2 linked regions of the Saccharomyces cerevisiae S288C genome follow. The protein of the gene in region 2 interacts with the protein of the main gene of each other region in a pairwise test. Each region holds a gene or a part of one and is shown on either strand. Other genes may lie near its edges. The genes, in order: YDC1 and VVS1.

Region 1 (3,349 bases), on a different chromosome or scaffold from region 2:
GGAAGAAGCGGAAAGAATCGCCAAGGAAGAGCATGGTTCAGAGAAAATTTCTGTTATTTCTGGTGTTGGTGTAAGAAATTACTATGGTAAACTAGGATATGAACTAGACGGTCCATACATGTCGAAAAGAATTTAAAGGTAAATAGAACTTTTATGTGCCGCCGACATGGCCGGTTTTCCAAGCAGAAATTTAAATATATTTAAGTAAATAATTGTTTATACTATTCATTTATTAATTCCTTTTATGATGGGAGTAACTGCTGCATGTGTTTTCAGAAGAAAGATATTTTACGCCACATAAACATAAATTTTAGAATAGTCAGGCATAATAAAAAAAGGTGAACAGAAGGGAAGGAACGAAGTGTAAGCTCTTTAGTTTGTCACATATCTATATACAAATATACACGTTCGGTCAATTGCACGTACAACAATTTATATACATACATAACATATACGTACATATATTTTGAAGATTCAAATGGATGGCACAAAATCACTCCTTAGTTATTCTTTTTTGTTTCATCATCTACCTGTGTATTTACAATTGGCCCCAGATACTCCAGTGAATAAGAAGTACCAATCGGTAAGCCCTTTCTTACCAGCTCAGGGAAAAATCCCCACCTCCATATAAATAAGAAGTCATTTGGATTTCCATGGGTTAATATTCTCAAATATTGCAAATACACGACGAAGATATAGACACCAGTACCGGTCAAAAGATGCCACCAAGCATGCAGTTCCAATAGAACACCTAATGGCAGGGCCAAATATGTTCTCCGGATATAGATCCAAAAAGAACACAGGTGAATATCTAGTTGCCAGCAAATGAACCCAATGACAAAAGGAATCATGCCCATAACCATAGTAATAAAAAGATTTTTCTTTGCAAATGAATCATGAACGTGATAGTAGGTCAGCCAGCCAGAAAGAACCACAACTAGAAGCGTCAATATACCATAAAGGACTTGGAAAATTGCTGGCTTTTGGACGACAACGTAAATCCAGGTTAAAATGGTGACTATACCACACATGATAAAAGAAATGACCATTTGGATTCTAAATGAGCTTTCCTTCCTTTTCTTCTCATCCTTAATCAAGATTTCTTGAGTTTCTGCAAAAATACTCCACGATGGGATGATGGTCGCATACAGCATTGGTAGTTCGTCTAGCAATTGATAACGATACTGTAAAGTCATATGAAATAACCACGAACCAATACCAACCAGCGAGAACCCCATTCCTATCAATATATACCTTGTTTCTAACTTATTACGCCAAGCGCTATATGTAGAATAGAAGGCGGTCATTAAGAATATACTATTGGTAATAGTATTTGACCATTCTGCAATATAGGGGGATACGACATAATTCTCCTCGCACCAATCAATCAGAGAAGTTGGCTTGCCCCAATAACCTTCAATCGGGGCTTCTGGATAAGGCCAGCTGAACAGCATTTGATTTTTTTCTTTATCTTACTTTCTTAAAAATTCACTAGGTTCTATGATATATCCTTTTGCTTAAATTCTTGAATTGAAAAACGAAGAACAATGCAGATAAACCAGATAGTTATTTCCTTTTTTTTTTTCACTATTAGCAAATATTCAAAGATTGAAGCATGCAATAGAAAGAAAGCAAGCGAAGTAAAATAAGAAAGGCACACCTGTCATTATGGCATTATAAAAAGAAACTGATGGATAAGTTGCTTTCAGGAAATCTGATCCCCTGATTCTGTAGGTTGGCGTACGCTATCGGACATGCTATGCCACTCTCCGGGAACGAGGGATTTAAAAAAGGGACATGAAGTAATATGAGCCGAATGGCTACGATCAGTAAAAATCAGCAGGTGTCATGTTACAGTATATATGATTCTCGTTATTTAGCCTTCTATATATCAGTGGGCCCATGAAAATCTAACTTAACATCTTTGCCTCTGGGGTTTGTAGGGCTCCTCGAGGTACTTTATCTCTTCTTCTGTTAGAGTTACTTGTAGTGCGGCAATCGCTTCGTCTACTCTTGCTGTAGTGTTCAATCCCACAATAGGGTGACATCCTTTATGCAAAACCCATGCAATGGAGAGCATAGCCATCGAGACTTTTTTGTCCTTCGACACCTTTTCCACACGATTTATAATTTCCTTTTGTTCTTCTTCGAGATTATCCAAATGTAACGACTTGAAAGTTGGATCACTCTTAATCCTGTCCGTGCTTTGGTTCAGAGGACGAGTCAACATGCCTCGTGCGTTAGGAGACCATGGAAGTAAACCAATATTGTGTCTTTTGGCAAAAGGAATCAATTCGCGTTCATCTTCACGATAGAGCAAATTGTAGTAAGACTGCGAAGAAATGAACTGAAACCAGCCATATTTATCGGCTGTGAACTGCAGTTCTGCAAATTCAGTTGCCAACATACTCGAAGCCCCAATGTATCTAACGTGGCCCGCTTCAACAACATCATTCAATGCCTTCATGATCTCTTTCATTGGCGTTTCATGATCTAATCTGTGAATTTGTAAAAGGTCTATATATGTGCCCAGTCTTTTCACAGAGTTCTCGACACCAGCAATTATATGCTTTCTGGATAAACCCCGCTGGTTGGACAAGTCCAATTCTTCAAATTCATTTAAAGTGAAGTTATGATGCAAATCAAGCGTTTCATCAACTGGGAAGTAAATTTTGGTCATAATCACCACCGTTTCTCTCTTTATACTGTAGTACTCCAGAAACTCCTTAATTATTCTTTCACTCAAACCATTAGAATAAAAATCTGCTGTGTCAAAAGTACGAAGACCTTTATCGTAACAATGCTTCATAATCTTGAAAATTTGGGTCTTGTCCTCTATGACCCAGTCCGCCCATTTCTTGGACCCGTATGACATACATCCTATCACTATCGGTGATATCTTAAGACCTGAGTTACCGAGTCTTACCTGCTTAACTAAAACCATTTCTGCCGCCTGATGTGGGTCTTCCGTAACAGCCAAATTACATAGTTGGCAAGACAATTAATATATGATACCTTGTTCTCTGGGTCCTAATATATATATATATATATATATATATACGAAAAGGCTGAGAAGAATAAGGCAGATGTTAGCTTAGCTTCTTTTACTCAAGCAATGAAAACAAAATCGAAGGGAAACAAATTCAAACCAAGCGGCCGAGTTATCTCCCGTTCCTAACCTACTACACTAATCACATTTTTCCGTGGAAATAACGTTATTGAAAATGCGTTCTTGCCTGCCATACGTGGGTGAAATACTTCCACGTTCGCAAAAAATACTTCCACGGTGACGAAGTCTGTCTCAGTCGTATATTAAATGCAGAAATCGTCTTATCATTATTGGGCTCTC
Region 2 (4,240 bases):
ATAATTCCGACCGAGAAAGGTGCACCCACTTGTCATACAAATTGTACATATATATATATATATATATATATATATATATATATGTATATATTATACCTGCAAGCAATTGCACGCGAGTACTCTGCGTGAGTCAAAAGACTGTGGTAAAATGGTACCCATCTGATGCAGGAATTCCGACTCTTTCAAGCTAAATGCCGTTTCATTTTGGCACGGATGCATTCGCAGATTGGTTGGAAATCCGCATACATCAAATGCGCCAAGAGGGCTGCCATTGTATATTCCTTTTCTCGGCAGTCCTGCCGGATGCATTTATGCCGCTAAGACGCAGAACCGAATATTGGGCTCAGGAAAATATGCAGATAGACGCTCGCCCGTGAGCGACTCATGACGCGCGTGTGCTATTTTGGCCCCGGCAGTACAAGCGGTAGTCATGGTTTCCGCCACACGGATCTCATACAACAGCAATCCATTTGGTTTGCCTAGTTCCGTACATATACATAGATACTAACTAAATGAGTGCATATACTCATGTAGCCGTTCGTTACTAGAAGAAGAAGAAAATAAAAAACAGATGAATAGCTAGAAAGAAGTAAAAAATAGTTGCTTAGGTATATATGACTGGCTACAGATCAGTAGCCAGCCCAAACCTCGCTGTATGTAGTCTTGCCCTTTGTCTCGGGTACACGCTTGTACACATATGTAGCAAACATGGCAGCGATGGCGGCGAAGATCGCAAATACGTAGCCGCCCATGAGGCCGTGGCCTATCGGGAAGAGGTATCCGACGATGAAGGTGGCAAGCCAGTTGCACACAGTACCAAAACTTTGAGCTGTAGCGGCATCCTGCGGGTAGGATAGCTCACCAATGATCAAGAAGGGGATGGGTCCCAGACCGATGGCGAATGCGGCAATATAGACAAAAGTGGCCGTGACCAGTAAAAAGGATACGCTCAAGGTGAGACCTACACTGATCAGCAGCGACATGGCGGTCATCACCGTAGTCGAGGCAAGCAATAATGGACGGCGCCCGACGTGGTCGATGATCGCAGATGCTGCTAGAGTGACAACGACATTGAGGATGGAAATGGCAAAATTTACCTGAATCGAGTAGTCCGGTAGAATCTTGCCGATCACTTTTACACCGTAGAAGATAATAGAGTTGATGCCGCAAAATTGCTGGCACGACAAGATGGCGAGTATAACTGTGCGCGGTTTCTTGTATGAGGGATCGGTAACATATTGCCATAGTGTGGGTCCTGAATGAGTCTCTTCGCTTGACTCCGGGTCGCGGTTGTGCCCATGGCTACGCTGCCAATCCTGAATTTCTTGCTTCGCTTGTTGGTACGTTCCTGGACGCAACTTGAACAGAGCAGTTTCAGCTTCCGAGACGAATCCGTGGCTCACCAGCCACCTTGGAGATTCGTCCACTTTGAGCCAAGCTAAAATATTCGCTACCGCAATCACGGATCCGGAAAAGAGAAGCCACCTCCAGTTATAGGAGTCTGCGTACTTGAGTGCCAAGGTTTGGGTCAGCAGGATACCTAGATTGATAGAAACCTGATTCATAGATCCCATAGCGCCTCTCCACTCCACGGGGGCAATCTCGTTGATAAATAAGGGTGTGATCACAATGGCGGTGCCGCAGGACATGCCTACCAGGAACCTGCCAAATAGCAACTGCAAGTAGGAGTTGGAAAAGAAAAGCAGCAGAGAAGAAACCATGCACATGGCCGAGGCGCCCATGCTCACGTACTTTCTTCCGTATCGGTTGGCCCAGTTACCGGCGTAGTACGACCCAAACAGTCCGCCTATGCTGAATATAGACGTAATTGCGCCGTATTGAGAATCGGTTAACGCAATGCATTGCTTGAGTCCGTGTTGCCCAACCCAAGTGTCATCGTATGAGATGTTTTCGTCTGGTGCCTCAAATCTGGAGCACGATAAGAATTCTTGAGGCGCATTCAACTCTGCGATGTGGTATCCGTACTGGATCGACCCCAAACAAGCAACTATCGTGCCCAAGATTAAATGGCCCGTAATTAACGGTTTTGTTTCGCGGGAACCACCGTTAGGCATTAGTCTTTCAGTTTCAGCCATGACTTAGTTTGTTATGCCTTAGTCTCTGTGTTTTGTTGTTGTTCCAAGAGAGAAAGATATTCAGCAACTTTTGTTCTCCTGTTATTCCCTTAATCAGGAAGCAACTTTAAGGGAAATCCATTTCATCCCTCACACTTCCCATCTTTTCTCGGACAACCTTACATTACGCCTACGACGTATGACTACACAAGCAAGTTCGTTTTACAGACCGCGTATCATTGCTCGTTACAGCTCTACCAAAAGTGTACCGAGCACTGTGCCCAGAAGCTAAGCTTTTTTCGCTAACATATATATATATTTAGGTAAATCATTTACACTTTTCGTCGATCTAAAAGCTCATCGCATTTTTTCGGTCCTGATGTTAAAAATTTATTTCGTTTATTAAAAAAAAAAAAAACATTACTGAAACGTATAAAAGAAAAGTCTTAATCTATAAATATGGTTTTATCATAATTAGACTGTTTTACTCTGTCCATTGGTCATTATAAAGCCTGAAAATACCCACTGAATGGTTTTTTTCGCAGGAGCAAACCTTTTCCATTTCTAATAAACCTTCTGCACTATTTTTATTCTCATAAAAAACAATTGTCAAAGAAAGCCTACATAAAAAAAATATGACAGCAACGATCACAAATAAGAAATCATGCTCTGGTTCTGTTGAGGCAGGAAAGACACGTTTAACAACTGAATGGAAGCCTGAAAGCCAAGTACCCCAATATGTTAAAAATGAGCTCTCTAAACCCCATCCAAACTATATCCTGGCGTTTTTGAACGTGGTACAGCAATTAAAAATTCAGAGAAGAACCGGTTATCTTGACCTCGGTATTAAAGAATGTGAAAGCATATCAGATCACATGTACAGATTGAGCATAATCACCATGCTGATCAAGGATTCGCGGGTTAACCGCGATAAATGTGTCCGGATCGCATTGGTGCACGATATCGCCGAATCTTTAGTTGGCGATATTACTCCAGTTGACCCTATTGGGAAGGAAGAAAAGCATCGTCGGGAATGGGAAACCATAAAATATCTATGTAATGCTCTGATCAAGCCATACAATGAGATCGCGGCAAAGGAAATTATGGACGATTGGTTGGCTTATGAAAATGTCACCTCATTGGAAGCTAGATACGTGAAAGATATCGATAAATATGAAATGCTTGTACAATGTTTTGAGTACGAGAGGGAATACAAAGGAACGAAAAACTTCGATGATTTCTTTGGGGCTGTAGCTAGCATAAAAACAGACGAAGTAAAGGGCTGGACAAGTGACCTTGTCGTGCAGCGCCAAAAATACTTCGCCGATTTGACTCAATCGATAACTAAATAATTATCATAAATACCAACTTTTGCGTCATAAAAGTACAAAGTAACTACCAATACATAATCTTCAACGTACTGTCCATAGGTTGTCGTGGCCAAAGATGATAGCGCCTATAGCGTGTCTTCCAAGTAAAGCCAAAATTCCAATGCAGAATTGCAACTTCAAGATTGTATTGCACAATTTGTCTTCCCTCATAGGGCCAAACCATACTAATGTCAAGTTTATTAACGTCATATTAGAGGTGCTAATAATCTCATTATTTTCATCAAATTCCAGGTCAATCAAATGGAGACAGTATAGTAACTTCAAGATCGGTTTAAAAATGCTCTTTGGCGGTTCTTCTTTTAAGTTTGCTCTTGATGGATACATTAAACCGTCTTTTTCATTAAATTTAGGTAACCTATGTCTCGGGCAGGGGACCAATTTGAATAGCTGAGGACATGAATAAATAAAATTAACGATTTGAGGAATGAATAGCAAAAGCATCGTCTTTGAAAAATGACCCAGTATACCAACGACTGCGAATACCATTCCAGCGAAATAACAATATGTATCTCCCACAAACACTGTGGCGGGCCAACGATTCCATTTCCATAGCGCCAAGGATACACCCAAAAATGGGATAATCAAAACAGCGGAAAACCTATGGGAGTCTCTTGTGGCTAATGGCCCCATCGAGAAGTACAGCAAATCGTTCAATAGCGCTAAGATGGCCAACACTATACATTGGCCAACCTCTAAACCATTAACACCTGCCAGGATGTTGATGGAGTTGGGGCAAAAAATTGCCATCGATGCCATATAAACATAATACCACAG

Evidence for each region.
Region 1: the proteins of VVS1 (region 2) and YDC1 interact in a protein complementation assay, tested with the Saccharomyces cerevisiae proteins (one large-scale study listed by BioGRID).

The regions. Positions count from the first base shown.
Region 1 is NC_001148.4:381,560-384,908, reverse strand, and holds YDC1 (alkaline dihydroceramidase), read right to left. Parts: upstream 1,455-3,349; coding exon 501-1,454; downstream 1-500. Other genes in the region: Elongator subunit ELP3, read left to right, coding at 1-136; YPL088W (aldo-keto reductase superfamily protein), read right to left, coding at 1,916-2,944.
Region 2 is NC_001134.8:701,960-706,199, forward strand, and holds VVS1 (Vvs1p), read right to left. Parts: upstream 2,097-4,240; coding exon 630-2,096; downstream 1-629. Other genes in the region: YBR242W (5'-deoxynucleotidase), read left to right, coding at 2,711-3,427; ALG7 (UDP-N-acetylglucosamine--dolichyl-phosphate N-acetylglucosaminephosphotransferase), read right to left, coding at 3,488-4,240.